Linked DNA regions of Sus scrofa. The protein of the gene in region 1 interacts with the protein of each later gene in a pairwise test. Links are inferred from orthologs where the notes say so. Each region holds a gene or a part of one and is shown in the gene's direction. Other genes may lie near its edges. The genes, in order: NDN, ZBTB1, P4HA3, CCDC136, GKAP1, SSX2IP and APBB1IP.

Evidence for each region.
Region 2: the proteins of NDN (region 1) and ZBTB1 interact in a two-hybrid assay, tested with the Homo sapiens proteins (2 studies listed by BioGRID and IntAct). The link is inferred for Sus scrofa from reciprocal best matches to the Homo sapiens genes NDN and ZBTB1.
Region 3: the proteins of NDN (region 1) and P4HA3 interact in a two-hybrid assay, tested with the Homo sapiens proteins (2 studies listed by BioGRID). The link is inferred for Sus scrofa from reciprocal best matches to the Homo sapiens genes NDN and P4HA3.
Region 4: the proteins of NDN (region 1) and CCDC136 interact in a two-hybrid assay, tested with the Homo sapiens proteins (2 studies listed by BioGRID). The link is inferred for Sus scrofa from reciprocal best matches to the Homo sapiens genes NDN and CCDC136.
Region 5: the proteins of NDN (region 1) and GKAP1 interact in a two-hybrid assay, tested with the Homo sapiens proteins (2 studies listed by BioGRID and IntAct). The link is inferred for Sus scrofa from reciprocal best matches to the Homo sapiens genes NDN and GKAP1.
Region 6: the proteins of NDN (region 1) and SSX2IP interact in a two-hybrid assay, tested with the Homo sapiens proteins (2 studies listed by BioGRID). The link is inferred for Sus scrofa from reciprocal best matches to the Homo sapiens genes NDN and SSX2IP.
Region 7: the proteins of NDN (region 1) and APBB1IP interact in a two-hybrid assay, tested with the Homo sapiens proteins (2 studies listed by BioGRID and IntAct). The link is inferred for Sus scrofa from reciprocal best matches to the Homo sapiens genes NDN and APBB1IP.

Annotation. Positions count from the first base shown.
Region 1 is NC_010443.5:142,411,491-142,414,545, forward strand, and holds NDN (necdin), read left to right. Parts: upstream 1-1,197; coding exon 1,198-2,175; downstream 2,176-3,055. UniProt on the Homo sapiens protein: Growth suppressor that facilitates the entry of the cell into cell cycle arrest.
Region 2 is NC_010449.5:88,573,886-88,578,571, forward strand, and holds the start of ZBTB1 (zinc finger and BTB domain-containing protein 1), read left to right. Parts: upstream 1-1,677; 5' UTR 1,678-2,820; intron 2,821-4,686. Other genes in the region: ZBTB25 (zinc finger and BTB domain-containing protein 25), read right to left, coding at 516-697.
Region 3 is NC_010451.4:8,664,755-8,669,452, reverse strand, and holds the start of P4HA3 (prolyl 4-hydroxylase subunit alpha-3), read left to right. Parts: upstream 1-1,689; 5' UTR 1,690-1,737; coding exon 1,738-1,937; intron 1,938-4,698. UniProt on the Homo sapiens protein: Catalyzes the post-translational formation of 4-hydroxyproline in -Xaa-Pro-Gly- sequences in collagens and other proteins.
Region 4 is NC_010460.4:19,820,670-19,825,356, reverse strand, and holds the start of CCDC136 (coiled-coil domain-containing protein 136), read left to right. Parts: upstream 1-1,619; 5' UTR 1,620-1,665; coding exon 1,666-1,723; intron 1,724-1,789; exon of another isoform or gene 1,790-2,062; intron 2,063-2,493; coding exon 2,494-2,601; intron 2,602-4,173; coding exon 4,174-4,425; intron 4,426-4,517; coding exon 4,518-4,592; intron 4,593-4,687. UniProt on the Homo sapiens protein: May play a role in acrosome formation in spermatogenesis and in fertilization.
Region 5 is NC_010452.4:31,140,487-31,144,911, forward strand, and holds the start of GKAP1 (G kinase-anchoring protein 1), read left to right. Parts: upstream 1-1,312; 5' UTR 1,313-1,560; intron 1,561-3,497; exon of another isoform or gene 3,498-3,617; intron 3,618-4,425. UniProt on the Homo sapiens protein: Regulates insulin-dependent IRS1 tyrosine phosphorylation in adipocytes by modulating the availability of IRS1 to IR tyrosine kinase. Its association with IRS1 is required for insulin-induced translocation of SLC2A4 to the cell membrane.
Region 6 is NC_010448.4:129,086,909-129,090,853, forward strand, and holds part of SSX2IP (afadin- and alpha-actinin-binding protein), read left to right. Parts: intron 1-1,030; coding exon 1,031-1,141; intron 1,142-3,420; coding exon 3,421-3,556; intron 3,557-3,945. UniProt on the Homo sapiens protein: Belongs to an adhesion system, which plays a role in the organization of homotypic, interneuronal and heterotypic cell-cell adherens junctions (AJs).
Region 7 is NC_010452.4:49,240,020-49,244,538, reverse strand, and holds the start of APBB1IP (amyloid beta A4 precursor protein-binding family B member 1-interacting protein), read left to right. Parts: upstream 1-1,674; 5' UTR 1,675-2,150; intron 2,151-4,519. UniProt on the Homo sapiens protein: Appears to function in the signal transduction from Ras activation to actin cytoskeletal remodeling. Suppresses insulin-induced promoter activities through AP1 and SRE. Mediates Rap1-induced adhesion.

The DNA of each region.
Region 1 (3,055 bases):
GCGCAGAGGTGGGGTCTACACGAACACACCCGTGAAGGCTACATCAGTCATAAGGGGAATTAGGGTCCTTCCTGGACAAACAAGTAGAAAGACATCATACTAGTCTGTGCTAATAAATACAGCAATCTTTGTGTGATGAGATCCTAATCAAAAAATTAAAATTACATCAAAATTACCCAAGGGAAGTAGAAAAACCAAAATCAATGACCATTCAAGCACCTAACAGTATCATTAGTACATTGTCTTCAAGAAAGTTTCAGTTGTACATGTATTGACTACATTCTGCATTTTTCCTTCATAACCCCCTGGACTTGGCAGTCAGGAAATCTTTTTTTTTTTTTTTTTTTTTTTTTTTTTTTCCCCATAGCAGGCTACGGGTAGAATTGGAGCTACGGCTGCCAGCTGACACTACAGCCACAGCAACACTGGATCCAAGCCCTGTCTGCAACCTACACCATAGTTCATGTCAACATCAGATCCTTAACCTACTGAGCAAGGGCAGGATTGAACCTGCATCCTCATGGATACTAGTCAGATTCCTTTCCGCTGTATCACAATGGGAACTCGCAGTGAATCAATCAATTTTTATTGCTATCTTTCATGATTCTGATATCCCGCATCTTTTTCAGAGTTGACACATTTTCTTGGGTGACCCTGATTGTTCTGTCAGTTTAAATTCTCACACTTGTTATCCAAAACCCAAGCTTATGTGCCAACCTGGGCCTTTCTCTGAAACTCACATCTAACTTGATTCTACATATACCCAATTGAACATTTCCTAAGAAATTCAGCTTCAGCATCTTGGAAGCTTAAGTTTCCATCTTTCCTCTTAAACTTGCTCCTTGTCCAGTGCTCACCCATGTCGCTCCTCCCCCCGGCCCCAGGACCGCCTCCTTAGCCCAAACTGGACGACTGTGGGTCATGAGGCCAGTATTCCACTAGGCCCCCTACCCCTTTGGGACCTCAATACACCCCAGCCCTCCAGGCGCCCCGCCCCTACCGCCAGCCGGCAGGGCCCCCACAGACCACGGATGCGCAGGCGCACTAGCCTGTCCCGCCGCCGCCCCGCCCCGCCCGGCCGCTGCGGAAGGCGCCGCGCGCAGCAACGCGCACTTCCTCTCCAGGAGTCCACCGAGGGAGCGCAGAGTCGAAGAGCTCCTGGACGCAGCGGCCGAGCCCTTGCCAGACGGAGCAAACATGTCCGAACAAAGTAAGGACGTGTGTGACCCCAACTTTGCAGCCGATGCCTCCCACTCCGAGGTGCACAGCAGCCCTGGGGTGGCCGGGGGGCCCTCTCCGCCTGCGTCCCAGGCCGCGACCCTCGCAGGGCCAGAGATCCCTCCTGTAGGCCCACCCGACGCCCCTCTGGCCTCGCCGCCGCCCCAGGCCCTGAGCGAAGAGGGAGACCCAAAGGCTCTACAGCAGGCCGCGGAGGAAGGCCGCGCCCACCAGGCCCGGAGCACAGCCCAGCCCAGCCCAGCGCCGCCGGCCCCGGCCCAGCTGGTGCAGAAGGCACATGAGCTCATGTGGTACGTGCTGGTCAAGGACCAGAAAAGGATGATCATCTGGTTCCCAGACATGGTGAAAGATGTCATCGGCAGTTACAAGAAGTGGTGCAGAAGCATCCTGAGGCGCACCAGCCTCATCCTCGCCCGAGTGTTCGGGCTGCACCTGAGGCTGACCAGCCTGCACACCATGGAGTTCTCGCTGGTCAAAGCTCTGGCGCCTGAGGAGCTGGACAGGGTTGCTCTGAGCAACCGCATGCCTATGACAGGCCTCCTGCTGATGATCCTGAGCCTCATCTACGTAAAGGGTCGCGGTGCCCGTGAGAGTGCTGTGTGGAACGTGCTGCGCATCCTGGGGCTGAGGCCCTGGAAGAAGCACTCCACCTTTGGAGATGTGAGAAAGCTTATCACTGAGGAGTTCGTACAGCAGAACTACCTGAAGTACCAGCGCGTCCCCCACGTCGAGCCCCCTGAGTATGAGTTCTTCTGGGGCTCCCGTGCCAGCCGTGAAATCACCAAGATGCAAATCATGGAGTTCCTGGCCAGGGTCTTTAAGAAAGACCCCCAGGCCTGGCCTTCCCGCTACAGGGAAGCTCTGGAAGAGGCCAGAGCCCTGCGGGAGGCCAACCCCACTGCCCACTGCCCCCGCAACAGTGTCTCCGAGGACTAGCAAGGTCTGGAGGCAGATTGATGGTTTCTGACCCTCACCAGGGTGGTGGAGGGGTGGGGGTGGGACATTAGAGTATTCAGGATTTACAGTGCAGTATTTCACGTGTAACTTTTACGTTTTCAGTACAGTGCTTTTATACCTTTTAATGCAATGTTGTATTCATTTCAGTAATAATTAGGTAGTGTGTAGGATTCATGCATGTTTGTTTATAAGTAAGCTCAGTTGGTGCTTTCGCTTTTGTGCTACCTTTCTTGAATTTTTTGTACCAGAGACGTGCTAAACTTATGAAATACATTGAGACATTTTCCATCTTATTCTTTTACATGGGACTGATGATGTGTATGGGGGTAGACAGGTACTAGAGAGTTTGGACGAACTCACCAGTAAAGCTGGTCTAACCAAGAGAAAAGTCAAGACCTCTCTCTCTGTGATCTTGCTGGGCACAGGAAACATCTGTCTGGAGTGTGGTGATGTGGACTTAAAGGGGCTCAGTATGGACACTTGGCACAGTTTACTAAACACAAAAACAACCCCACCATGAGTAAACTTTAAACATTAAAGATTCTTGTGATACAGTCATTTTTATGGAAAAGTGTACTTTTATCTTTTTAACAAAGTAGTATGGGTTGGGAATGAGATATTTTACACAATGTACAGATATATTTCATCTCATAGGGTGGGGAAATCGTGACTCATATGTGTGAGGTGTATAGTTTTTTTTTTTGCAAAATGTAACTCACATGTTCATTTCAAAAATTTGACAAAGAGAAAAGTATGAAAAACAGAAAAGTTCATAGTCACATCACATAGAAATAGTAACTGTTCATATTTAGTTTCTTGCATTTTCTACATTTTATTAAAATTAATAGCTGTCTTTTGT
Region 2 (4,686 bases), on another chromosome or scaffold:
ACTGCAGATACTCAATAAAGAGCCACCAAACCTGGGCAGAATCCATCTCTACTACCTCCAAATAAGCCATTCAGGGCAGGGTTGGGCAAAAGGTGTAGAAAGTCCTCTTTTCTTGCTGACCAACCCTGCGATGTTCCACACTTCCTGTTAACCTCCTACCCATCAGAACTCATCTATTCCGATTCCTATCCCATCAGTGTTCCATTCCCTATTAAGGAACTGATGTCTGACAATGGACTAATAGTTTACCCTTAATTAAAGCATATCCAGATGGCTAAAGGGGTCTTTGGTGCCTTTACCCACGGAAGCAACTGCTAGTCTTTGTTATCCTCGGCAAGAATAGTGCTGGATTTTTTTCGTGGCAGGAGAGGGACGAGCTTTGAGCTCAAAGTACATTAACAAGCACTCTATTCCACCTAGAAATAGTGCCAACTCCATTCCTTAAAATACCAGAGCCATCACACACTGGCCAAGTTTAATTTCTCAATAACCGGAATTAAATCAAGTATAATCACCTCTGGCAGATCGTCTCTACAGTGAGTGGGTTAAACTGCACCGCACTCCTGGTGTGGTGGAGTGCAATGACTAAGGCATCTAGAGAGAGCCTTGGAGTCCAGTTACTGAAGAGGTATAGGGCTTTGATCAAGCTACACAGTCTTTCCGCCTGGTGTTCCGTAAAATGAGAGATGAAGTGCATTTTCTATCAGGCTCCTTTCAGCTTTAAAATTTGTGACTCTAAAGTGTACTTCACGCACATGACAAAATCCTGTGGGAATCAAAAGCGCTGCCAAAATGACTTGACTCTCAAGAGAACGCATGCCATTGAGGGGAAACAGGAGCGTTAATATATGAAGCAAGTTAGCAGCTGTTAGTTTCCAGGCACAGTGCACAGCCTAAGCAGCTTGACAACAGCTTGATTTTCCCCAAATAATAAGTGCTAGGGAAGGCAGTGAGAGATGGAGCAAGATGGGGGGGGCTGGATTTGCTTAGGATAAAAGTAATATAATGTGAAAAAAGAAGGATAAATGAGGGGAGGGGGGGAGGCAACTTCCTGCAGGGTTAATCCCAAAAGGGGATGAGGAGGGAGAAGGAGGCCAGTAGCTGCAGCGTCTGGCAGGTGGCACCTGGAGAACCGCCCACTTGAGAGAGCTGCCGGGGTCGCCGCTGCCTGGCGAATGCCGCAGGCGGGTCGGGGCTTTCCGGGCGGGGTCGCAGTCTGGCCCGCAGCTATAAGAGCTCGGAGTCGTTGCTGCGCCCCCGCACGCCCCCGGCCTGCGTCAGGCCCTAACAGCTGCGTGCTGCGGGCAGCGAAGGACCGCTCTGGATATCCTTGGCCCAGCTCTCACTCGTGGTTGCCATTTTCCTTCGGTGCCCTGACATCTCAAAGAGACCAAAAACACCCCCCTCCCCAGCTACTTGCATCTGTCCCGCGACCGACGCAGCTGCAGGCCGCCGCCCAAAGCGGCTCGCGGCGGGAGGGACTGAGCCCGGGGCAGCCCACAAGGGCCGGGCCGCGTTGCTTACCCAGAGGCCGCCGCGGCGGGCGGGCTGCTGGCCGACTCCTCCGTGCGGGAGGGGCGGCTCCCGCGCCGCGTACGTCACGCGGACACGCCGGCTCACGCACCCCGCGGTTCGTTCTCGCGCGGCTTCCCGCGCCAACAGCCCCGCGATGGGTCCACGTGACCGCGCGCCTGGTAGCCGGGGAACTTGGGGCGCTGGGGCCGGAGTGTGCGTGCGTGCGTGCGTACGTGCGCGCCCGCCTGCTCGCCCGCTCTAGTGGCTTGGCGGGGGTCGGCCCGCGTTCTAGGTGCCTCTGCCACGGTCGCTAGTCGTGACTCTGTAGGCGGAAGCGTGGAGCGAAGCCTGAGCGTCACAGGCTCCCCACACAAAACCGCGTGACCCGGGGACTTTCCCTGGGGTGTGCAAAAGCACGGGCACCCCTCAGTTCGGGGTGGGGGCAGGGAAGGATGCGCCCGCATACTCGCGGGCTGAGGGGTGAGGGCGCGGGGCCAGGGAAGCTGAACCACGGGAGCCTGGGAGGGGAGGCGGGCTGGGCGGGGTTGGGCATGGCGGGGGAAGTGACTCAAGGCCAGAGGCGGACAGGCCCACGGAAGGCAGGAGTGGGGGGAGCGCGGGCAATGGGCGACCCTGAACTAGCTGGCCGCGCACGGGACAGAGCAAGGGTGCTGGCGCCCCCAGAACGTCAGGGACATACCGTGAGGGAGGGCCCAGCTGCTGGGCCCTATGGGGCCGGGGTCTGACATCTGGACAGAGTGGGAAAGCAGCATCCTGCCCTTGGGGAGTCGGGAGGAGCCCAGTCCCATCCAGCTGTGCAAACAGGAGGAGGAGGAGGAGGTCCCAAGCCTACCCTAGGGAGAGGGGCAAGAGGGGTGGTCAGGCTGTCGCCGCGCCGGCCCCCGCGGTGCGGGTTGCGCCAGCCTCCTCGGAACCCGACGCAGAAACTTGTTGCAACAAACAGGCGACCGCGGGTGCCCCTAGCAGCCAGCGGCGGAGTGGGTGGGCGGTCGAGAGGGAGGGGAAGGCTGGCGGACGCCGCAGCGAACTGGTGGGCAGACCCGGAGTCGCCGCGTAAGCGGGGCCGGCTCAGTGCGGTGCAGCAGGCGCGGCTGTGCGGCAGCGGAAGTCCTTTGTTGCAGCACAGTCCCTGGCAGAGCCAGAGCCTCTCCGCGCAGCCCAGCCCGAGCGCCGCGCGTCGCCGCCACTGCAGCTCGCGGCCCCTTCGTCTCCGCCCGCCTTTCCTGTGGCTGATTTGCCTTAAACTCCCTAAAATTTCCGCAGCCCCGGATCCTGCTGCGGCCGGTGAGTATTTGCCAGTTGTGGGGCTATTTGCGCAACTTTGGCCCGGGCGGGAGGGTGACGGGCCGCGAGCTTGACGGAGTGCGGGGCCGGAGCGGCGCCGACCCGTGCGGGGAGCCAGAGCGCGGCGGACGCGCTGCGAGGACCCGGCGACAGGCGGTTGCCGGGCCGCCTGCTTGATCCCGCCGCCCTCCGGCGCGTCTGGTCGGGGACGTGCGGCCTCCCTGGGTCGGAGGCGAAGCCCACGGAGACTAGTTCCCAAATTAGTTACCTTCTTTTTCCTTTCTTTCTCTGCCTTTATTTTTTGAGGGGGGGGGGGGGGGAGGTGTAGACGGGAGGCGGGAGGACCCGGTTGATTGACGTGCCCAGAGCCCGCTTCTCTCAACTTACAGCCGCGGCTTCTCGGCGGGTGGGAGGGGAAGTGTCCCGGAGCCCGAGGCCGCAGACTTGGGCGCGCTCCGAGGGAGGAGGCATAAGAGCCGTGCAAATTCTTGCCACGCTCTTTCCCCCCACCCCCACCCCGCCGGCACACACGCTTTTTGTTCAGTAAAAAGTGGTAGGTCTCGAGTTGGGGAATTTTCAGTGGAAAGATATGTTTCCTGGGAGAAAAGTGCTTTCGCTTCCAGCGTTGGGAGCTCACTAGAAGTTTTCGGTAAATGGGTTGGATGCAAATCGAGAGTCGTTACCACTAAAATATGTAGGCTTCTGTCTGAGCTCAGCTATCCTCCGAGTCTCCCTTCCTACCTAAGCAGCACATCTACGTGATCTGTCTGCAGGGTTGACAGGACATTTTTCCAAATTGGGAGCGTCAAGGAGATGTTGGTGGAAGTCCTTGATGTTTTCTGGGAACAGTAGGGCATTTGTCTGTTGTGTAATAATAGTCCTAAATTGAGATTCAACGTGGTAGATACCAGCAGGTTCTTTATTGGCCAAGTGTATTTCCAGGCAGAAAAACTATGCCAGGAACGCTTCCCTTTGACACTCGAACCCAAGAAGTGGTCCCAGGCTTTTTGAGACTTGGAATCAATTTCTTGAGCTGAAGTTCAAGGCACTCTGGAGCAGATTTGGTGAAGGATGCAGTTTTCATGATAACTCCAAACTAATCATCACCTTCTCCTTTGAAATTATGAAACTTTGTCATTGCAAAAAGATACGATGAGGAGAATTGGGATACAAAAAGAAGAAACTTGAATGATGGCTGGCCACCAGAACCTCAAAATTTTCCTTTTGAATTACTTATATCTAATAAAGTCTCAATGATAACTGAATAGCTTTGGAAACTAGGTGGGGGCTTCTTCGTTGTAAAAGAAAATTGAAGCATAGTGAAGGTAAAATGTTTTTCCAAAGATTAATAAAATAATACAATCTGTGAGTGGAACCTTGAGTCAACATCTTATACTCATTTTAAAGCAGATTGTCTTTTATGACCAGATTTTCATGGTATAGAGTAACTCATTGGAGCAGTCTTACCTGAAGCCTTCTATTCTTCCTACCCAACATGGCCTAATTTGGGGGAAGTGGGGAGCCCTGGTGCATCACTGTCAGAGAAAAGAGAAACCATATTTAACCAGGACCTTAGCAGGGCAGAGCACCATATCAGCCACTTGCTCTTGACCTTGTGTTTGATTTTGCCTTAACCCTGCTAACTTTTTGTGCTGTTTATCTATTCTCCTCTTTTGCCAGGCTCTGGGGAAGAATTAGTTCATGAAGCTCTTTAAGGGTGTCTCTGTGTTCCTTGCAGCCCACCCATTCTAACATGCATGAGAAAACAAGTGCCTGCTTTTAGGCCTCCTCCCTCCATCCAGAAAAGTGCTAAGCTTTTGCTATTAAGCTTCTGGCCCAAAGGGCATGAAACCATCTGGGATGAAA
Region 3 (4,698 bases), on another chromosome or scaffold:
TTGCAAACTCAGACCCTTGGCCAGTCCAGCATGCCCACCATAGGGGAGGTGTTACGAGGGGAAGTGCTACGAGGGGAAGTGTGATGGAGAGGGTGTCAGAGTGGGAAGAGACAGTTTAACCAATTGTGGTTAAAACAGCTTTATTTTGCTAATTTTACAAATACATGTAACAGGGCGACCACCTTGTTGGGCTCCACCATTCCTCAATCCTGAGGGCTTTGGAAAGGGTTTGTGCAAGTCAGAGGCCTTGACGCTTAAGCCTCGAAAGCTTTATGGTCCATTTGCCTCTGGTAGCGATTAAGAATAGGATACCCGGATCTACGGTACCAAGGTTCAGGTTCCTGCTTACTAGCTGCCACGTGGATTGTGTTGCTATTACAGATGAGGGTCTCCAGAAGGAGATGCTGAGATGGATTTAAGGTGCAAGGTCTTCATTGGGGATCAACATCTGTGAAAGGGACACGAAGCAGGAAAGGGCAGAGGAGGAGGTCAGGAGGCTTGGCAAAGCTTGACCAGTGTGGCAAGTGGGCTGGAGCTAGTATTGCCAGTCAGAGCTGTCTCATGCTGGGCCTGCATGGCTGGAACTTTATTCCTTCTCCTTGCTCAGTTGCTGGATGTCCATGAATGCCACCTTTAAAACTTCCATTGGATTCTCGTAGCGGACAGTCTGAATTTCTTAATATGACATGCAAAGCCCCTTCACAGTCTGACAGGTCCAGCTGCAAGGAACTTTTCATCATTTCTGCAACTCAAACTATTTCCCAGCTCCAAACCTTGATATACATAAATACCTTCTCCAATCCCTCCCTGCCTGTCGTCTTGCAGGCAGTTCCTTTTCACCCTTTTGGACCTCTGCACAAGGCGTCCTCTGTGGAGCCCTCTCAAGTCTCTGCATGGGAATGGGCTCCCTCCTCAGGGTTGTCATGGCTCCCTGCACAGCCGCTGGTTACTCCCACAGCACTTTATGGTTATTTGTTTGCACCTCTGTCTCTCCTTATGAGTCCACTGTTGGATCTGCTATATCTCTCTGTCCTCAGCACAGTACAAGAGATGCTAAATGTTTGTTAAATGAATGAATGAATATTGCCTAGGGGAGGAAAGAACAGTAGTAGGATATAATAATATTTTTATTTGCTTAAATGCCTATGGGTATGTTGTGTAGAGCACTGACCCAGAACCCTAGAGTTTTTTATTTTAAAGGTTCTAGATTTGTCAGGCACTGATCCTAATGGCCGTCTCTCTCTCTCTCTGGTCAAAATTCTGTTCATCCTTCAAGATGGTTCAGAGGTCAAGTCCTGTATGAAGTGCTTTCTTCCCCTTGGTCCGTCACAGCTCCACCCGCACTGCTGTGACCATACATTTGCTCTCCTGACTTCTCCATCAGAATCCTATGCCGTTGCTGTATTTCCGCTGCTTGATCCACAGGGGTAAATATTTGGGGATGGCATTGTACAGCCATAAATCGGTGAATTCATTCCTCACCACACCCTCCGCCTCAGTTTCCCCAAGTGTGAAATAGGCACAGTGGAAATGCTTTTCTAGAGCTGTGGTTTAGTGGAGGGCAGCGGACCACCGGCAGCCCCCGCAGAGTCTGAAGCGCTAAGGGGCTGGAAGGTGGGACGTGGAGCGCGAGGGGAGGGGTCAGAACGCGAAGTCGGGGGCGGGGCCGGGGCGGGGCGGAGAGGCGGGCGCAGGGCCGGGCGGACCGTCTGAGGGGACCAGCGCGCGAGCCCAGCGATGGGCCCTGCGGCAGGGCTGGCAGCGCTGCTGGCGGTGCTGGCGCTCAGGGCAGGGGACGCAGCGGGGGTCGCGACCCGCGGGGACACGTTCTCAGCGCTCACCAGTGTGGCGCGCGCCCTGGCGCCAGAGCGCCAGCTGCTGGGACTGCTGCGGCGCTACCTGCGCGGGGAGGAGGCGCGGCTGCGGGATTTGACCAGGTGAGGGCACTGGGGTGGAGTCTGAATGGGGCAGTGGGGAGACACTGTGCCACGGGGCGCGGTGGGGGGAGTCACTCTTAGGTTCACTGTCACACTCGGTAGGACTTCAGACTCCATACACTCGGTGACACCCCCATCCAACATAACACAGCCAAGTTGATACACTGTGGGAAGGGGCCCGGGGGGTGGGGGGTGACTCCAAGAGGAAGTAGGACCTCACAGGGTACTGGCTCAAGCTGTGTGGGCTCCCGAGCTGTGTCACAAAGACACAGCAACACTGCGAGAGTGAAATGGAGAGTGTATGGTGACATTGTAGCCACACGTGCTGACCACGTGACCCAAGGAACTGATACTTGCTATAGGTGACATTCTGGACCGTGTGTGAGATTTATGTGTTATTGGGACTGGGTGGGTAGGACTCTATGGCTGTCATACTGTGCCTGTGAAAGATGCTGGCAGTTGTCTGGGTCACTACGTGAATAACACTTCGTGTTCATCAGGTCGTTCAGCACATGTTTGAGTGCCTACTCTGAGCCAGCCACTGTTTTGGGCACTGGGGAGGGACTGGTGAACAACACCCAGCCTTGCCCTCTAGGAGCTTGGAGTCTGTAATATCATGATTATTAAAATGAGATCTCTGTCCTTCCCTTTGCTTTCAGCTCTCCTTCCTCTTTGCACATGTTAAGAACTCTTTAAATACTGTCACTGAGATGCTATTATGTGTATGAAAGTATTTGACACCCGGAAAACACTGGGCAATAATCTACTTGATACTAGCGGATGCAGGGTGTACACACCAGCAGATGCTTAGCCAGTACTGTTTTGCTATACAACCGACCAACTACTGTAGGACTTGGAACGCTGAGGCACTGTGACCGTGTATGACTCTGTCAGTGTTAGTGAAAGATAAACGATCAGATAAGATACCGCGTGTATGAGTGAGCGCTGTGTGGAGGACCCATGTAGGAGAGAATCAGTTTGTGTGAGGAAGTGTGAGAGCTTGTTTGTTACCCAAGGGTGACTGAATGGCGATGTAATCTGGTACAAGCTCTTAAGGATGCAGCATGCATATAAGCAGTTATATGCATATGTAAATCTGTTAATTTGGAAAAGTGTGATGATACACATATATATTTAGTATATGTATGTGTGTCATGATAAATGATGGTAATTTCAACAATTCTTGAATAATTCTACTCTTTGGAGTAGTATAGTTGCCTAGTGTTCTGTAGGCCCATGTTTATAAACGATTTCATTTTGTTCTTAGCCCAGATTGTTGGAGTCCAGTTTCATTGGTAGAAATAGAACAGCCTCTTCTCTTTGGTTCGAGATGTCATCACGCTCCCTGCTGCCCATCTGCTTGTTCGCATACCACTCATCTCTTTATTCGTGTGGCTTAGATGGAGATGGTGGTTGGAATCCTGATGTCACACATCTCAGAAGAGAGAGCTCAAAGCTTTGATCAGAAGGACTGGCCAGGGTGCCCCTTCTGCCAACTGGTCTCCTTTACTGTCTTGCCATTGTTGTCACAGCTTTGTCACAGTGGGAGGTCTTGCACAAACCTATCTCCTTTGATTTTCTCTCAAACACGGTGCTTTGAAATAGGTTTGTATTACTCTCTTAAATAAATGAGAAATCATTTAAAATGTCAGAAAAGTATAGTACCTTATCCAAGATTACAAAATCGAATAGGTGGCAAATCCAGGTCTAGGACACAGCTCCTTTGACTGGTTCTCTCAAGCTGTGATATCCATACTGCTTGCTCTATACAAGACGCCAGGACGTCACCAAGCCCCAGAGCCACTGAGTTTTATGAGCAGCTGGAGTACATATTGGTTAAGAGTCTGGCTTCAGGAATTTAACAGACGTCTGTTTGAATGCTTGGCTCTGACCTTGGGCAAGTTCCTTTACCTCTTTTTAAAGTATTTCCTAATCTGTAAAACAGTGATAAAAATGGTGCTTTCCCTCATAGGCTTGTTGGAAGGATTATATACCATGTAAAGGAATGTAGTAATTGCTCAACAAATGTTAGCTCTTTATGGTTGTCGTTTATTTTAAGACTGGCTGGTGAAACTAGACCCCGCTTTTGGCTGTAAGCAGTAACTAGGGCTCTGAAAGCTTAGACAATAAAAAAGAATCAGAAAAATTCCAGACTCTCTTCTCATATGACTTATGAACATTAAATTTCAGAAAGTTTAGTTTGATATTTTAGAGACTGACTGTTCTCTAGTCAGTGCTCCAAAACCTGGTGAAATGTTTGCTTTTTGAAGAAAGCATTTTGGGAATTACTGCTCACTTTCCTATATTGCCAATCTGGCGATCTAATGTAACTTGAGATGTTATTTCTAAGGCCCTAACTTGATATTCTTCTTTGAGTTTCTGAATTTAGAAATTAAATATTTTTGATGTTGAAACTACTACCCTTTACTACAAGTTAATGAATAAAAATTATACTAGTTGTAATGTATATATTTGTATACTAATGTAGTATCACATATACTAGTTACACACACTCACACACATATTTAGATAGTTAACCCCTGGCTTTTTTTGTTGTTGCAGTTTTAAAACCATCAAGATTTAAAAGTAGTATCAGCAGCAATTATTTCTGTGCTAGGAATCAAGCATTCAGAATATCTCAGAAGAACCAAGACAAAGCCATTTCTCAATTCCAAAGAAGAAATATACCGAATTAAAATAGCCCATGTATTGTGGCCGGGTAACCTGTCCAGGCTATGTTTCATGCAAGGATTGGATTGCA
Region 4 (4,687 bases), on another chromosome or scaffold:
TTTAGGGCTGCACCTATGGCATATGGAGGTTCCCAGGGTAGGGGTCGAATCGGAATTGTTGCCACCAGCCTACGCCACAGCCACAGCAACGCCAGATCCCAGCTGCATCTTCGACCTACACCACAGCTCACGGCAATGCCGGATCCTTAACCCACTGAGCGAGCCCAGAGATTGAACCCACAACCTTATGGGTCCTAGCCGGATTCCTTTCCACTGCGCCACGACGGGAACTCCAATACTATTGTTAATAGGCAACACTGAACACCTTAAGTGTGGGATCATACGTTAAATGATAAGCAGAGCATTAATTAGGAGATTTAACTTCACTCATTTATTCTGTGTCAATGATTTAGATACTGGAGATACAAAAACGACTAAGGCAATTTCCTGGTCTTCCAAACACTGGGCTGACAGGAAAGTCAGAACATGACCTTGACAACCTAGAGTGACTGGTGCTGCTTAGAGGGAAGGGGGAGGGGTCGGAGCACAGCAGGAGCATCTAATGGCTTGGCTGGGTGGTGAGTCGGGAATGGCTGCCAAGAGATGACTCCCAGCTGAGTGTTTAAGGGTACGTAGGGGATGTCGAGGCAAAGAAGGGCTTCTCTCCTGAGGAATATGGAGGGCTTGTGAACTTGGGAGCCGGTGGGCGTGATCCAGACAGTATATGCCCATGACCTTGTAAGTGGATGCGCAAGAGAAGGGACTGTCCCTGGTTTAGGAATCTCCCAGTGATTTTCCAGATGTGCTGGAACCTCCGGGTTCCCAAGTGTACCCATTTCTTTCCTGGCTGAGACCTGCAGAGGCGTGAGCCCAATTGGTTCGCCAAAATCTGGCACTTGGAAGAAGTTCCTTGAAGGAGCGGTTGAGTGAAATAAGCTATCTGGGCTTTCACATCTCCCTTCTATGAGAGTGAAAATCGGCAGTGCCCACTCTAAACAGCTGCAGAGGCTAGGTGAGTAGGGGTTGTGGTTTGCAGACCACCGGGCCTGGGGCCCGGTGGGAAGGCAGGCAATGGAGAAAGGTCTTCGACACTAAGGGCTGCGTGGGGTCCCGGAGCGGCCCCTTCTAAGAAGGTCCCTGCTTGTGGCTTGGCGGAGGGCGCAAGGCCAACAGAGAGATCAAGGCCCGCAGTTGAAGTATCCTGGCTTCGGTTTCCCTCCTCCAGCCCTGGAGCAGCCCTGAGGCTGAGGCTGGCGGCCGGAGGGTCTGCGCTGACTGCCCAGGTGGAGGGTGCCGCTCAGCCGTGGGGAGCAAGGGGCGTGTGAGCATCCGCGCGTTTGGAGGAAACAGGCCAGGAGGATTTGGCTCTCCTGGTGCTTGCTTTTCCTTCCCCACCGCCGAGCAGGACCGGGCCCTGGCACTTGGCGCAGAGGGGTGCCCCCACGCAGCCGCCTCCCGGCAGGACCCACCGCCAGACCAGGGGAGCCGGTCGCTCCCTCGGCGCGGGCCTCGGGGCGTGTCTGGCGACGCGCTTGCACCGGGTCCGGGAGCTGGGGTGCAGGGCCGGCTTCCGGGCGGCGGCGGCGGCGGCGTCAGGTGGCCTGGCCAGGCCCCGCCCCCTCGGCCGGCCCGGCCTTCCTTCCCCTGCGCACCCGGCTCCGGTCCCCGGCCTGGCGGCGGCGGCGGCGGCGGCTGCTCCGGGCGGCGGCGGCGGCGCGAGCGGCCATGGAGGCGGGCGCCGGGGCCGGCGCGGGCGCCGCGGGCTGGAGCTGCCCGGGTCCAGGTCAGAGCGCCCCTCCCTCACTTCGCCACCGCCGCTCCTTCCTCTTCTCCATCTCTCCTCCCTCCAGACCCCCAGGTCCTCTCCCCCTCCGCTGCTCCCCACCTCTCCGTCCTAAGTCTTCCTCCTCCATCCTGCCCCCAGCCCGGGCTCCGGCTCCATCTTTCCGGGCTGGCTCTTCCCCACACCGGCCGCATCATCCCTGGCAGTCCCTCCCCTGAGCCCACTCCATCTGGTCTCTCCAGCCTGACGGTGCTTTTTGCCTTGGGGGCTCCAGACCCCGCACCTGCTCGGACCCTGAAGGCTTCGGAGCGCGGGGCGGAGTGGGGAGGACGAAGTCCAGTGAGAGCTGGAATGGACGGCAGCGGCCCCAGTCCAGACCCCCTTCCCGCACGCGTCCCCTCACCCCTTCCCCTTCCACCTCACCCTTTGAGCCTCTTCTCTTTGCTGGCTCCCGCCCTCTTCCATCCTTGCCTGTCCCCTCTGGGCTAAAGAGACACACACACGCCCTTTCTGTCTGTGCAAGGGAGAGGAGCACGGACTGGGGGGCAGAGAAGCTGGGCAGTGCAGGGCGGTGTCCCCGCAGGCCCGCTTGAGGGGCCACCTGGGGCGGAGAGTCGCAGCCCTGGGCAGACTGAGCCAAGTACTTCCACTGGGATGAAAAACCCCAGGGCTCCAAAGGGCTAGGAGGCATGTCCCCTCCCCTCCCCGCTGCACCCCAGCCCCCAGCCGCCCCTAGCATCCCACAGTGCCCCCTCTCTCCCTGCTTACAGGACCCACAGTGACCACTTTAGGCTCCTACGAGGTGTCTGACGGTTGTGAGAGGAAGAAAGGCCAACGCTGGGGGTCCCTGGAAAGGCGTGGAATGCAAGCCATGGAGGGTGAGTTTTCCCCAAAAGCTTTCTTTCCCTCCACCTCGTCCAGCTTCCCTCTCCTCCTTCCTCCCTCTGACCCCCAGAACTCTGAGCCAGGACACAGCCCTTCCCCAAGTTCAGCTCAGCCCCCTCCAACCCTCCTCAGGGCTCGGGCTTTGGGGAAAGTTCAGGGTACATCCCTTTGGGGTCCTAACCACCAGCTAACCAAGTTGTGTGTCCCCAGGGAGCTGCCAGAGAGAGAAAGAGGCCTCCTTGGACAGAGATTTGAAGCAGCTGTGCAGCAGGGGGTTTGTTCTCGCTGCCTCCCGACCCAGATCCCAAGCTGTCTCTTATTTTGAAAAGCCAGAGGAGTGAGCATGTGAATTGTCTTTCTGGTGTCACCACTAACTTCAAATGGAAGCCTTGTGACTTCGGTTCTCTAGGTTATCTTACTGCCTGAAAGAGGGAGCCTGGGAGAGGGGCCGGCGAGAAGGCCAAGCTCCCAACGCGCATCTCACCCTCGACACCCACACAGCTTGGCACTTGCTGCCTAAATGAGGCCCCTAGAAGGATGCTGGTCCTATTTCCAGGACTTTCTGTGTAGGGTCCCCAGGTCCCTATACACACGTCCACGCTCCAAGAGGGACGGATGAGACAAGGGGTCCCAGATAAACCTTAGGCTGTGATTATTAGACAAAGATGGACCAGAGATTGAGAATTTTAAAACAAAGCAAGCTCTTACCATCCAGGCAAGATTTTGCTATTGAGAGGAACTGCATTGCAGCAAAGGAGAGGGGTTGCTCACCAGCCAGAGGCTGGGGACCAGCACACCCCCATTTCTTAATGCATTAAAATGGCAGGCTTTCTTTTATTCACGAGGAGAATCCTTGACTTCCCCCCCAAAACTGCCTTATGGTCAGCAGGGGAAGGGGCCTCAGAACACTCAGGGAGAGGAGGGGAGACCTCCTGACACAGCAGAAAAGAAAGGTGGACCTGGCAGAAAATTTCCAAAGGGCTATTCGATAGAATGTATTTGAAAGGGGCCCCGTCTTTGTCCAGAAAAGCATTTAGAATCATTTCAGATGATTCTCTTTGGCTGTTCTCTTTCTCTACTGACTGACAGGCAACGCTTTCTTATTATGGAAGGGCTAATTTCTCACAAGCCACCTGGATCCTTGGTAAACTTAGTACAAACCCCCAAACTGTAATTCTTGTCCTGTTGGGCTTAAAGACACACCCGGTGTCTGACTCTTTCTTGACTACCCAGAGACGAGGCTGGAGGAAGCAGCTATCCTTGTGCGAGCCTCATGGGGCTCAGCCGGGCCCTTGGCTGCTCAGTGTGCCCAAAGGCAGTACTAGGAGGCCACCAGGTGCAGCACTGGTCCAGGAAGGGCCCGGGAGGGGGATGGGCTACCTCCAACCCCGACCCTCACACCTGAGGACTCGTCCCGTGTGCAGGTCCTGCCCAGAGGCTCCTTGGGGGACACCAGGTGGCACTATGATACCATCTCTGCCCTGGGACAGCATGCTAGAGGGCCCTGGAAGGACCAAGGACAGGAAGCTGGCTCTTACTCGCTGGGGGTGGGGGGTCTTTCCTAGGGGAAGTGTTACTCCCAGCCCTCTACGAGGAGGAAGAGGAGGAGGAAGAGGAAGAAGAGGGGGAAGAAGAGGATGATCAGGTGCAAAAGGGAGGAAGCGGGGGCTCCTTGTCCCTCAGTAAGCACCGGGGCCTGAGCCTCACGGAGACCGAACTGGAGGAGCTGAGGGCTCAGGTGCTGCAGCTGGTGGCAGAGCTGGAGGAGACCCGGGAACTGGCAGGGCAGCATGAGGATGACTCGCTGGAGCTGCAGGGTGAGTGCCTGTGACGGACCCCGAGGGCCGGGGCCCAAAGGCTCTGTGCTCCCTGGATCCCAGGCCTGACGCCAGCTCCCCCTTCACTGCAGGGCTCCTGGAGGATGAGCGGCTGGCCAGCGCCCAGCAGGCAGAGGTGTTCACCAAGCAGATCCAGCAGCTCCAAGGTAAATCCTGCACTCAGACTGGAGGGCCCGCCAAGTACTTTTGTCTTGAGGGCTTGGCGGAGGCACGCAGACCAATAGGACCGAAATCAGTACGT
Region 5 (4,425 bases), on another chromosome or scaffold:
TGCTTTTCCTGAACATCACTTTCATTGATTTACCTTCCTAATATATGCGTGTGTGTTTTTAGGGCCACACCCACGAGCACATAGAGGTTCCCAGACTAGGGGTCGAATCGGAGCTGTAGCCGCCAGCCTACATCACAGCCACAGTGATGCAGGATCCGAGCTGCGTCTGAGACCTACACCACAGCTCACGGCACCGCTGGATCCTTAACTCACTGAGCGAGGCCAGAGATCGAACACACGTCCTTACGGATACTAGTCCAGTTGGTTAACCGCGAGGAACTCCCATACATTTTCTCATGGTCTCTTTTCTTGCTGTAAAACCATCCTCATCCCCTTCAAGGTCAATCCCCAGGGCAGCCTCCTTGCTGCCTTTCTTTCCTAATCCGCTAGACCGGTCTGAGCAGTTCAGTAATCTTCTGCAGTACTCCCTGTATTTTTCACGTGGTACCTATCCTGGCTTTTCTCTCATTATACGTGTTTTATTCCTTACTCTGAAGACAAGGACAGCATCTTCAACTCCTCTCTGTAACCCTGCAGTGTCTCACCTATGGGGGCGCCTACTAAAAGTTGAATCAAAGTGATTTGGGGAGATAATGTGATGTAACCGTAAGCAGCACAGAATTTGAAGTCAAGACAGCTGGGTTCCAGCTCTGCCATTTATTAGCTGCGAGGCTTTGAGTAAGTCACTCAGCTAGGCTTGTAAAGTGAGAGTCCTACTACCTGATGGAACACCAAGGGAGATAACGTGAAAGTGTAACTCTACAGAAAACTGAGCAATATTCGTTATTTTCCTTATAGAGATCTGATGCAGTCTTTCTATTCAAACCTTGATCTGGAGGACCATCCTTACTTCACTAACAGGGGGTCGAGCCCCGAGTGGCCCCCACATTCCACCGACCCTTCTCTACCCCAGGGGCTCTCTAACTGCTCTCCGCGATGCAGGTGAAGCCGCCGAACTGCTGGTGAACGGCCTGGAGTCCTATTCTCTCGGGAGGCCTCCCTCCTTCCATCCGCTCCGGGAAAGCCCTTCTCTTCCCGGTAACCCCTCGAAGACCGCGGCGTCGCCGCCTACGTGAGACGTTTGGACCCTGCCCGGCCCCCGTAGCTCCCCTTCTCCAGCAGGTGGTTCTGGCCCTTTCCCCCAACTCCGGGCGCTCACGTCACCGGAGAGCCTCTACCCACGCGCCAGCGCCGCAACCAACCGAGAAAATAAACAAACCCCCGCGCGCGGCGGCAGACGCGCCAGGCCCCGCCCCCGCCCCGCCCCGCGGCTCTCACGCCGCCCCCTCCGCCGGGACTTCCCTCCCGCCCTCAGCTCGCGGCCGCGCTCTCCCCGCCCCTCACCGCAGCCCGCAGCCGCGCTCCCCGCCGTGGTCCGCCCGGTCCGGCGCCACGGGGCCCGTTAGTGCCCGGCGCTCGCCCGCCGCGAGCCCATCTCTGCCCCCCGACACGTGACCCAGCCCGGTCCCAACGCCCAGTGCGGCCGCCACGGGAGTCGCGGAGCGGCGGCGGCAGGGGGAGGAGGGAGAGGAGGGCCGAACCGGCGGCTGGGGAGGCCCGGTGAGTACGCGGAGGGCGGGCCGCCTCGCTGGGTCCGCTCGGGCGCCTCTGAGGCGGTGGCGGTCGCTCAGCCGCGCCACTCTGTGCGCCCGGGGCTCAGCGGTAGGGGACTTGGCCTGGGGGGCGGCGGGCCCCGCTGGCCACAGCTGCCGGGCAGAGTGCGCGGGAGGGCCGCTCCTCGGGAAGGGCCGCGGCCGCGACGCTCGGCGGCGGGCTCAGGGACGAAGGAGAGGGACCGGCGGAGACCCCAGGCCCCGGGCCGTGCCTGCGCCTCCCGAGACCCCGCGGGGGCCGGGGTCGGGGGCGACCGCAGTGGCGGGGCCGCCGGTTGACAGGTGCCGCCGTCCCCTCCCCGTCGCGGGGAGCGGTCTTCCTCCGGGGGAGGCAGGCGCTCGGAAATTTCTGGAGCGACGACCTGACTCGCCGTTCTCTCCCTTTCAGGTTTTGAAGCCGTTTCTTTGCCCGGGTTAAGTCTTGCCCAGCCCCGTTTCTTTCTCTGTGTACTTTGCGCGAATAAGTTTTGGAGCATCGGTTAACAGCCTATGGGCGAAATTTGGCTTTCATTCATGAATGAGTGAATTTCATTCATGAATTACTTTTTGAATAAAGTGCTCCTCCTCCACGCTAGCTGTTGAAAACTAAAAAAGAAGGGTGTTGAATTTTGTTGGTTTTTTTTGCAATTATTGTTTGGAACAAGCAGTATTCCAGAATTTTTGTCATCTCTAGCACTTAGGGTGCTTGGTAGATAGCCAACAAGGATAAAAATGACTTATTAAATTTTCTCTCCACTTTCTTTTTAGAGTTTTCCATTCTTACCTTAGCCAGATTTTACAGTTGCCTACCTGCTACAGCTTTCATTAGAAGCAGTACTGAAAGAGTGTCTTTCCTCTCCTGAAAAGCCAGTGAAATTTTTTCGGCACTGTTCAGTATTGTCAGTTTCTTTATATCGTAAACATGCTTGTGACTGTAACTTGAATCACCAGTTTAATAAATTTGACTTTCAGCTATAAGAATATTAAAGAAACTTTATGGCAATCAAAAATATTAAAATCTTTAATCTGTGGAAATACAGATGTTTTTTTCTCAGCAGGCTTATATACGGCATTAGATGGCATTAGCAAATCCTTATTAATGGAAGATATTCTTGTCATAAATGGTTACAACAAACTTAAGGTATCAGTCAGGTGGCTTTGCTCTGTGGACTAAGAGCAGAAACCCAGAAGTTGACTTGAGAGATCACTGGGGCAAAGGAAAATATGTGTGCTTTATTCATGGGAGAATCCCTTAGGTCCTCACACAGTACCAGCTTGTGCTTTTTGCTCGGTTTTTCAGCCCACAGAAATTAGGTGCTGCAGATTGGAGTGGGGAAGCAATATTTAACTATGAAGAAAGACATGAAATTTAGGGCATACACATTAAATTTATGTGATTTGTTTACAGCGAGTGTGTTGAGAGCAAAGTTTTTGATATGCACTTGGCACTTGGTTGTGAACCTTAGTTTATAAGAAGTCAAAGTGGAGTTCTCATGGTGGCTCAGGGGAAACTAGTATCTGTGAGGACGGGGGTTAGACCACTAGTCTTACTCAGTGGGTTAAGGATCCACTGTTGCTGTGAGCTATGGTGTTGGCTGCAGATGCGGCTTGGTTCTGGTGTTGCTGTGGCTGTGGTCTAGGCCAGCAGCTGTAGCTCCAATTCCACCCCTAGCTGGGACTGTCCATTTGCAGCAGGTGCAGCCCTAAAAAGAAAAAGAAAAAAAAGATATAAGAAGCCAACGTGAAAGATATTTAGTTGTGTTATTTGACATAATACAATGAAAATTTTTTTCACCAGATGTGAAGTCACTCATACTCAGTGCCATTTCATTTTATGGCTTTTTTTTTTTTTGAATCTAAACTATATTTCAGAGAAGCATCTACATTATATTCATTTCTTTTTTTTCATAGGCTTACTGGTTGATAGGCTTAATGGAAGAAAGAGGATATATTGGGTTGTTCTTGATTGAGGATTTTATACATAATCAGTTTTGAAATGCCCTAATTGTGATTCCCAGGAATGAGGTATGGCTACTGCTACCATCTTTCTTGACCTTAGAGTGATTATAGTCTAGAGGGATGACATCATAGTGGCAGTGAACCTCAGAACCTTGGTAGAAGAGACCAAGAGGATCAGCTGTTTAGAAATCCTGCTGCTGGCAGTTGAGGCTGTTCATTTTAAAACGTAGTTTGCTTAAGCTCCTGTATCCTAACTCTTTTTAATCAATATTTTAAAACCAATTATGCTTCCTAAACGCAATTAATTGTGGTGATCAGTTAGAATGACACTTAGAGTAAAACAACTTTAAACTGCTAATAATCATTGTTAATGCACACTTGCTTCTAGGGATTCGGCATTATGTCTATCACACTTTGCATTTTATTTTGCTGTCCATTCTACTTGAGAGCACGTCTTTGAACGCATAGATAGTTGTATACTTGGGCAATTTCAATAATCCTTCTAAAAAACCAAATACAATAAATGTATCCTTTTTTGTGCCAGGTTTTATTTGGGGTGGAAAGAAAAAGCCTTTGTCTTTCAGGATGTTGAAATCAGAATTATGAGGGGCTAGGCACAGCAGCAAACAGATCATTTTAATGAACTCTATTCAGTAATAAAAGTAAATATAAAGCACAGAAATATCACAGAGGAGAGAATGATTAACTCAACAAGCAGGTTAGAGAAAGCTTTACAGAAATGTTGGCACCTCAGCAGGATTTTGAGGAACAAATACAAATTGTAAATGGAAGATAGGGCGTTTTAGGCAAAAGACACAGCAGAAATATACGAACAACTAAATGTGTGGTCAGGAAATTGTAAGTAGTTTGTTTT
Region 6 (3,945 bases), on another chromosome or scaffold:
GATAGGAAGTTTTAAATGCTCCAGAGAAGAGGGTGCAAAAAATTCTTACAGCCTAGGAGTTATCTAAGTTATGTTTCTAAATTTTCTGTATCTTCTTGAGATCCATTGTTACAGAGATTGTGTTGGTTGTTGTTTGTGATCAGTTAACGCTATAACTTGAGAGGCTTTTTATTTTATAAAGGTGAGAGAATTTTAAAAGATTACTCCAGGAGCTTCATGCAGAATTTGGCCCAGTTCCTCCAGAAGTGTGTGGAATGCACTGAAATGAGCACCTTAATCCCATGTTGAGTCCATTGATTCTGCCATTGATCTCTAGCAGAAATCTTGAGAGTTTACCCCTTGCAAGGCAGAACTGATGTCATGCTGAGGTCCCGTCCTTTTTGACCTGAAGTGGTCGGCTTTGCATGGTCGCCTGTCTTCTTCAGACTGAACTCCAAATCATTGTTGGCTCTTTCACAGAATGTGCTGTGGAAGTGTTAAAAAGTAGTAAAAAGAAATTATAAAAATGTTCAGGGGCCACATCACTGGAATAGTTGAAAAGTCTTTCAAGGAATCCACTCTGAAGGTCTTTTGTGCATACATTAAAAATTGGTGTTTAAAGGAGTTCCCGTTGTGGCTCAGTGGTCAACCAACCTGACTCGCATCCATGAGGATGCGGGTTCAATCCCTGTCCTTGCTCGGTGGGTTAAGGATCCAGCGTTGCCGTGAGCTGTGCTGTAGGTCACAGACTCGGCTCGGATTCTGTGTTGCTGTGGCTCTGGCGTAGGCAGGAGGCTACAACTCCGATTGGACCACTAGCCTGGGAACTCCATATGCCACGAGTGCGGCCCTAAAAAGACACAAAAAAGAAAAAAAATGGTATTTAAATGAAATAAAATTTTATATCCAAAGTTAAATTTTGCAACTCTGTAGTGTCAAACTTTACAATGTTTTAAATAAACATTTCGTGTGCTGCTAAACTTCAATTTTAGGTAACAAATCCTAGTGTGTATGACTTTTTACTAATCAAAATTGCATATGAATGTTTTAGGAACAACTGGAAACCTCCAGGAGAGAAGTGATTGGGCTTCAGGAAAGAGATAGACAGTTACAGTGCAAGAATAGGAATTTGCATCAGCTACTGAAAAATGAGAAAGACGAGGTAAGTTGTCAGTTATTATGGATAAAATTTCAGTGAATTTTTATGTGTGTGTAATTTGAGGTGATCATAATGGTCACTTCACTTTAAGAGCGAACCATTTATTTATCCTGTGTCAAATGGAGATGCTGGACTTCTGTGTACAGTGTTGTATCTTTTTTCTTTTTTGCTTTTTAGGGCTGCACCTGCGGGCATATGGAGGTTCCCAGGCGAGGGATCCAATCAGAGCTACAGCTGCCAGCCTGCACCACAGCCACAGCAATGCCAGATCCAAGCTGCATCTGCGACCTACACCACAGCTTATGGCAACACCAGATCCTTAACCCACTGAGCGAGGTCAGGGATCGAACCCCAAACCTAATGGTTTCTAGTCGGATTCCTTTCCGCTGCGCCATGACGGGAACTCCCAGTATTGTATCATATTTAACTGAGAGGTCAGGAACTCTCTCCATGACATGGTTGGGGGGGTCCATTTGGCTTAGTGTATTAGTCCATAGCTGGTGACAGCCAGTGTTCTATACCATCCATCCTGTATCCACTTGAACTGTCCCTTTTTTGTTAGATGTAAGGGTCTGCTTTCAATGCAGGTATTTTATTCTCTGTCACATCTGTTCTTATGTCTAGCATGCCTCTTCTTACACTGTCTTAAATGTTATTGTTCATCCAGTCAGGCAATTATTTGACTAAATGGGCACACAAATTATTGTTTAAAAAAAGCAACTCACATTAAAAAAAAAAATCTCATTTTGGAGTTCCTGTTGTGGCTCAGTGGTAATGAACCTAACTAGTATCCATGAGGATGTGGCTTCGATTCCTGGCCTCATTCACTGGGTCAGGGATCTGTCCTTGCCATAAGCTGTGGTGAAGGTCACAGACATGCATGGCTGTGCTGTAGGCTGGTAGCTACAGCTCCAATTCAACCCCTAGCCTGGGAACTTCCATATGCCATGGTTGCAGCCCTAAAAACCAAAAAAAAAAATTTTCATTTCTTGGCTAAAGACATTGTAATTCTAATATTTGCTTTGGTGTTTACTTAGTATTATTCAGATCTATATAGATAATGCTTTTGGAATTATCTTTTAATTTATGTAAATAGAAACCATTGTTTTTATTGCTCTGCAGTTTTCTGACCACATAACTGTAAAACTGTAACATTTGTTTTCATTGTTGTGTATGTTGCAAAGAGTGGCTATGTAGAGTAGAACTTACTTCCTATCCAACACTGCCTGAGAAGCCATAATAGATATAAACATTGACCAGTAGTACCTAGCATAGAATAGGTACTCAGCAAATATCTGAAATGGATTCTGTATGCTGTTGGTCTCAGTCTAATTTGAAAATTATTTATTTATTTATTTATTTAGGGCGTCACCCCTGGCATATGGAAGTTCGCAGGCTGGGGGTCGAATTGGAGCTGCAGTTGCTGGCCTACACCACATCCATAGCAACATGGGATCCGAGCCGAATCTGCAACCTACACCACAGCTCATGGCAACGCCAGACCCTTAACCCACTGAGCAAGGTCTGGGATCAAACCTGCATCCTTATGGACACTAGTTGGATACATTTCCACTGCACCACAATGGGAACTCCCCAGAAAACTATTTTTGATCAGAGGAAAATGAACCTGTTTACTTGCTTCCATGTGCCATGACTAATTGACCTTGTCACAGATTGATAAAGGATGAAACGATTCATGTCTGAAGTAAAATAAGGTCCTTACAGATGATCAGATGAAGTCTGCTTGTTTCAGATGAAGCTTTAATCACATTACTACTTTGTAAGAGTTTGTGGTTTCTAAGTGATCAGAATCTGTATGTAAGGTGAAAGGTGTAGAAGATAATTTAGAAAGCTAGCAGCTCTGAAAATTTCAGAATTAAAAAATAAAAACTTTATGTGCTTCATTTAATGATATTTATTTACTTTACTTTCTTACTTTATGGCTGCACCTGAGGCACATGAAAGTTCCCTACCAGGGACAGAATCCAAGCTGCAGCCATGACCCATGCCACAGCTGCAAACGTGTACTTTTGCAGTGACCTGAGCTGCTGCAGCTGGACTCCCTACTCACTGCACCACAGCAGCAACTCCTCATTTAGTGATATTTTAAAGAGTGATTTCCAGTGGTTATGGAGAAGGAAGAATAATCCTAGAACTTTTAAACTATTACATGAGGAGCTGAAAGCTAGGACTTTACTTTCTCTTTTGAATTTGTACATTGGAACTGGGTTTACCAGTGAATTCTCAAGGGACTAATTCAATATAAAATGCCTTTTTTCTAGGTGCAAAAATTACAAAATATCATTGCAAGTCGAGCTACTCAATATAATCATGACATGAAGAGAAAAGAGCGTGAATATAATAAACTAAAGGAACGTCTACATCAACTTGTTATGAACAAGAAGGATAAAAAAATAGGTAAGAAGCAGCTGGCTAAGATAGTGCAAAGGGAATAAATAAGCTAGTATTACACAAAGAAATAAATGTGGAGGGATTGAGCTCAATAACTCATGAAATGTCCTTTTCATGCTCTATACAAATAATTTTAGATGGTCTATATCCATATAAACTAGAAATTGAGACAACTGGTTAGTTAAAAAATAATAATTTTGCTTTGCTCCATTACTTGCATATAGGAATTGCATACTTTTTTTTAATGTGACAGGTATAGGATTAATCCATAGAGAAAAGCTAAGCAAGAGGATACCCTAACCTTTCATAGCAATATGATTTGAGTGTCAGAAGTATGATTTTTGAGTTTATAAAATTGTCCCTCAAGCCAAACCATTCATGTCAGTTTGAGTTCT
Region 7 (4,519 bases), on another chromosome or scaffold:
GGTCTGGTGTCTGCCTACCTTTCCATCTCCATCCTCTACCACTGCCCTACCCTTTCACCATATTCCAGTTACAGTGGCTTTTCTAACCTTCTGTGTTCCTATCTCAAAACCTTTTTTTGCTCTTCCTTCCCTTGGAATGCTTTTCCAGTATCTGCCCCTTTTCATTATTTTGAAAGAGGTATTCCCTGACCTCTTTTCCTTTCCCATGAAAGTCATTCTGTTGCTCAACTTGACTTTGTGTATAATACTATGACTCTGTTCAGAACCTCCCAACAGCTTCCCATCCCTCAGAGCAACGTCCCTACCGCAGCCAGGAGAGTCCATTCCTTGCTGTTTTTCCAACATCTCAAGAGCCCTCCTAACTCAAGGTCTTTGAATGTGCTCTTCCTTTTGCCTGAAATATGCTCATCCAAAAATCCACATAGATTAATTTCTCAAGCATTTAGGTCTGGCTCAAGCGTCAGATAGAGCCAGATCTTCCTTGATGACCCTAATTAATGCAGCATCTTCATCCCCACTCCCGTCACTTTCTATTTTTCCCTTTTTAATTTCCCTCAAAATGCCTACATTGCCTGACATGTTAAATATTAATTTCTATATTGTCTATTTTCTCCCAACTAGAATGTACCTTCCATGAAAGCAGGAATTGCTTTCTTCTTTACAGTTTTTATTATTCTGAGAAGAGTTCATGCTGGACTATCTATTCAATGACTGAACTATCTTGAGTTACCTAATTAATTTATGGGTCTAATTTATGCCATTAGGTCTCCACCGGCTTCCCCACATTTAAGCCCTTGAAGACACATCTGTAGGAGGGAAGAAGAGGTGAATTAACCACATTTCCAAATCTAACTGATTTCAACTTCCACGTTTTCAAATCTCCCCCCTTTCCATCTGGAGACTCCACTCCCAAAAGTCAGGGGGTGAGGGTGTATTTCTAGTTAGTCCTTTGAGATTACAAATCGACTAACTAAAAATAGCCAGGTGCATGTGGATTATTCCTTTTTCAACACTGTATCTCCAAAATACAATCTTAGAAGTCGCATTGCTGTCTCAAAGGTCATTGCGGGAGTTCCCTGGTGGCCTGGAAAGTTAAGGATCCAGTGTTGTCACTGCTGTGGCTCCAATCACTGTTGTAACTCAGGTGCAGTTTCTGGCCCAGGAACTTCCTCATGCTGCCCACGTTACCAAAAAAAAAAAAAAAAAAGTCATTGCTGAGGTAAATTAAATAGTTGCTACCAATAATGTCCCCTCCACGGTGTCTGGACCATTTTGAACTTCCACCAGCAATATGGGAGAGGCCACATCCTCGCCCACCAACTGAGTGTCGTTAAGCTTTGGGGCGAAGGTTTGCCAATCTGATAGGATAGTTGAAAAACCGCCTTTCCTCTGCGGGTCGCGCCCTTCCACACCCAGGCACCAGTGGAGACCGAGGAACCCCGGCCTTGGCGCCTCCCCTCCCACGAAGGCTGCTCCACTCTGGCTCCCACGACCCCAAAGGGCAGCCAGTGCGTGGCCGGGAAGCGGGCCTTGCATAACCCGCCTGAAAGAGGAAGCTCAGAAAGGGCTGAAGTCAACACTTAGGAAGACCGTTGCAAAAAAAAAAAAAAAAAAAAAAAAATCGACTTCTCAAGCTTTTGTGGAATCATCATCGGGCCCCCAAGCCCTTAGCCACCCATATATCCAAGCGACAACGAAGCGGCCAGTCCCAAGATAGGGGGGCGCGTGGCCCAGGTAGGGGAAGGATGAGAGAGGCAGGTGCAACTTCTCCCAGAAGTAAAACCAAATTGTTTGCTTCGGGAGGGTGTGGGCGGGGTAAGACGAAATGAGACCCGGACCCGCTGAGTCGCAAGAAGCCGCGTACTAGAGCTAGAGGCGCCTTAGTCCACGTGCGTGGGTGTGTCTCTAACCCTGCGTCCTCCTTGCCCCTGGATGCGAGAGGCTAGCCAGCGCCCCACGTCTGCGCGCTGTGTGAGAAGGGCAGGGCTGACACCACTTCCTCCCCCTGCCGCAGACCCGAGCCCGGGCGCTACAGAGTGCACAGCGTCGCCTTCCCGGCCGCCGCCCCGACGCCGGCCGCTCCCCGCCGCGCCCGCAAGTCCCCGCCGAGACCCCACCAAGTCCCCGCGCCGCCGTGCACAGCCGTCGAGGTAAGCGGCGCCCGCCAGCCCCGGGATACCGGGAGCTACACCGGGAAACGAGGGGCTATCGTCCGACCAGGAGCTCGGCCCGTCGGGTCCGAGGCCCGACCCAGCTCTCGGTGCTGGCGCTGTGAACGCGCGCTCCCCGCTTGGCTCCCGAGGGCGGTGGGCCCTCGGACTCCGCTGTGAGGATCCCTCATCCCTGTACTTGACCGAGCTCCGCGGGGGGTTGGAGCTAGGGCTCGCCTTCCCCGCGTTCCTTTTCACCAGATTTGACTGATTTCCTGCCCAGAAAATTGCTACAAGGTCAAACGGGGAACTGGCCCGCACCCTGGCCTGTTAAGCAGGTCCGGGAACCCCAGTCTCACCGACGCTGAAGGAATTTCTGGGGGCCTTTCAGGGCGCTGTAGGGTGAATTCAAGTCGTGTGAGAATTTGATAGTGATTTCAGTCTGATGCATCTTAGAGTACTTCCTTCCTTGAAAACTTCCAGACAACTGTTCCTCCTCTTCACAAATAATTTTTCCTCCGAATTATTGCCTTTTCATTTTAAAATAAGATAAAAGAAAGATTTGGACCCCGGGCACAAGTTTTGTAATTTGGCTTGGAATGAATATCCAGACTGCTCTTTTCTAGCGTGAAGCAAACTAACTGGATGTCATTATATCCAGGAGGATGAGGGGACTGTCCCTGAAAACCTTGCCCAGTCCACCTTTTATTTTCCTGCTGGGAAGGTATTTCTTATCATTCATACCGCTGTGGAACGCTAAACATGTGTTTTCCTAGAGCCACTCACGGCAGAGCAGTTCAAAAATAACTTTTAATGTGATCATTTTAGGAGAGGTGGAGTAACAGGAAAATAACATAAAGTAAAAGCTCATGAGTTTATTACTCCGCAAGTTATGATTTCTGGTGGTCTAATGTGGTTTAAATAAAGGTAGGTATGCTAGCTACTATTAATTTTAAAGTCTAGGCCTCTGAGCCGAGGTTGTCCCTTTGAATAAACCTCCAGTGGCACTGTTCTCTCCTGTCTCACTGAAATGCTAGGATGGCACATGGGCAATAAAGCTGGCTAGCAAAATATCAGAGGATCTACTATGAAACTTCTGTAATGTCTTCCGGATGGTATTTCCTGTTTGCTCAACGTGTTGTGAAAGGTTTAAGAAATTTAATGTCATCCTCAGACTATTAATACTTAGTAATTTTCATACTATTACTAATATTTGTGTCTTTGGGTATTTGGAAGACTTGAGTCCTGTTCCGTATCTGCCTTTAGAAAGGACAAGCTTGATTAGGTTGCTTCATATCTCTCTGGACCTGAAGTAACTTATCAGTAAAGATCATTGCCTGCTTCTGTCTGACATTAAAATAGCAATTGAGGAATTGCCATAATTCTTTGAATTTGTCCTGTCTGGAATGCTGACGAAGTTAAAATTGCTGATCAGTAACAAAGGAGAATGGAGAAAATAATAATAATAACAGACATTGTTAGATTCTGAAATATTTTGAGGCCTTGTGTTTCTAAAATGTTCCTTATTTTTAAGTCAATTTCTGGTGTATATGTAAAATGGCAAATTTTCATTCTATGGAAAAACTTTGTAAGGAGTTCATGTGCCCAAGCTTGGTTAGGCAGATACTAGATTTCAGAATTCTTTAATTATTACATCTCAAGAAATGTAACTTTGTAATATGGATTACTTTAAATCTTAAGCACAGTATTTACTAGGTTATCTGTTATCCATTAAATATTTTGTATGAGAAAAATCCTGAGAATGTATACCAATCACCTGCTATTTTTGCCCTTTTTTCACTTGTAAATAAAAAGTTCTAGATATTTTTATATTATAGGAATGAGCTGTGGGAGTTCCCTGGTGACTCAGTACGTTAAGGATGTGGCATTGTCACTGCCATGGTGTGGGTTTGATTCCCTGGCCCGGGAACTTCTGCATGCTGCAGGTGCAGCCAAAAACCAAAAATAAATTTAAATATATTAAAAAAAAGAATGAGCTACTTATAATATTTGTTGCCATAAGTGTCTGTGTTTGATATGCCACTTTGATTGATGTAGCTTTGTAGTATTGTATGAAGTTTGGGAGGGTTAAGCCTCCTGCTTTGTTCTGTTTACTGAGGCTTGCTTTAGCAGTTCTGGGGCTTTTATGGTTCCACATAAATTTTAGGATTATTAGTTCTAGTTATGTGAGAAATGTCATGGGTAACTTGATAGGAATTGCATTAAATCTGTAGGTTGCTTTGGGTAGTATGACTGTTTTAACAATATTAATTCTTCTAATTCAGGAGCATGGGTTATTTTTCTGTTTCTTTGACCAGCTTCAATTTCCTTTATTAAAAATGTTTTGTAGTTCTCGGCATATGTCTTTC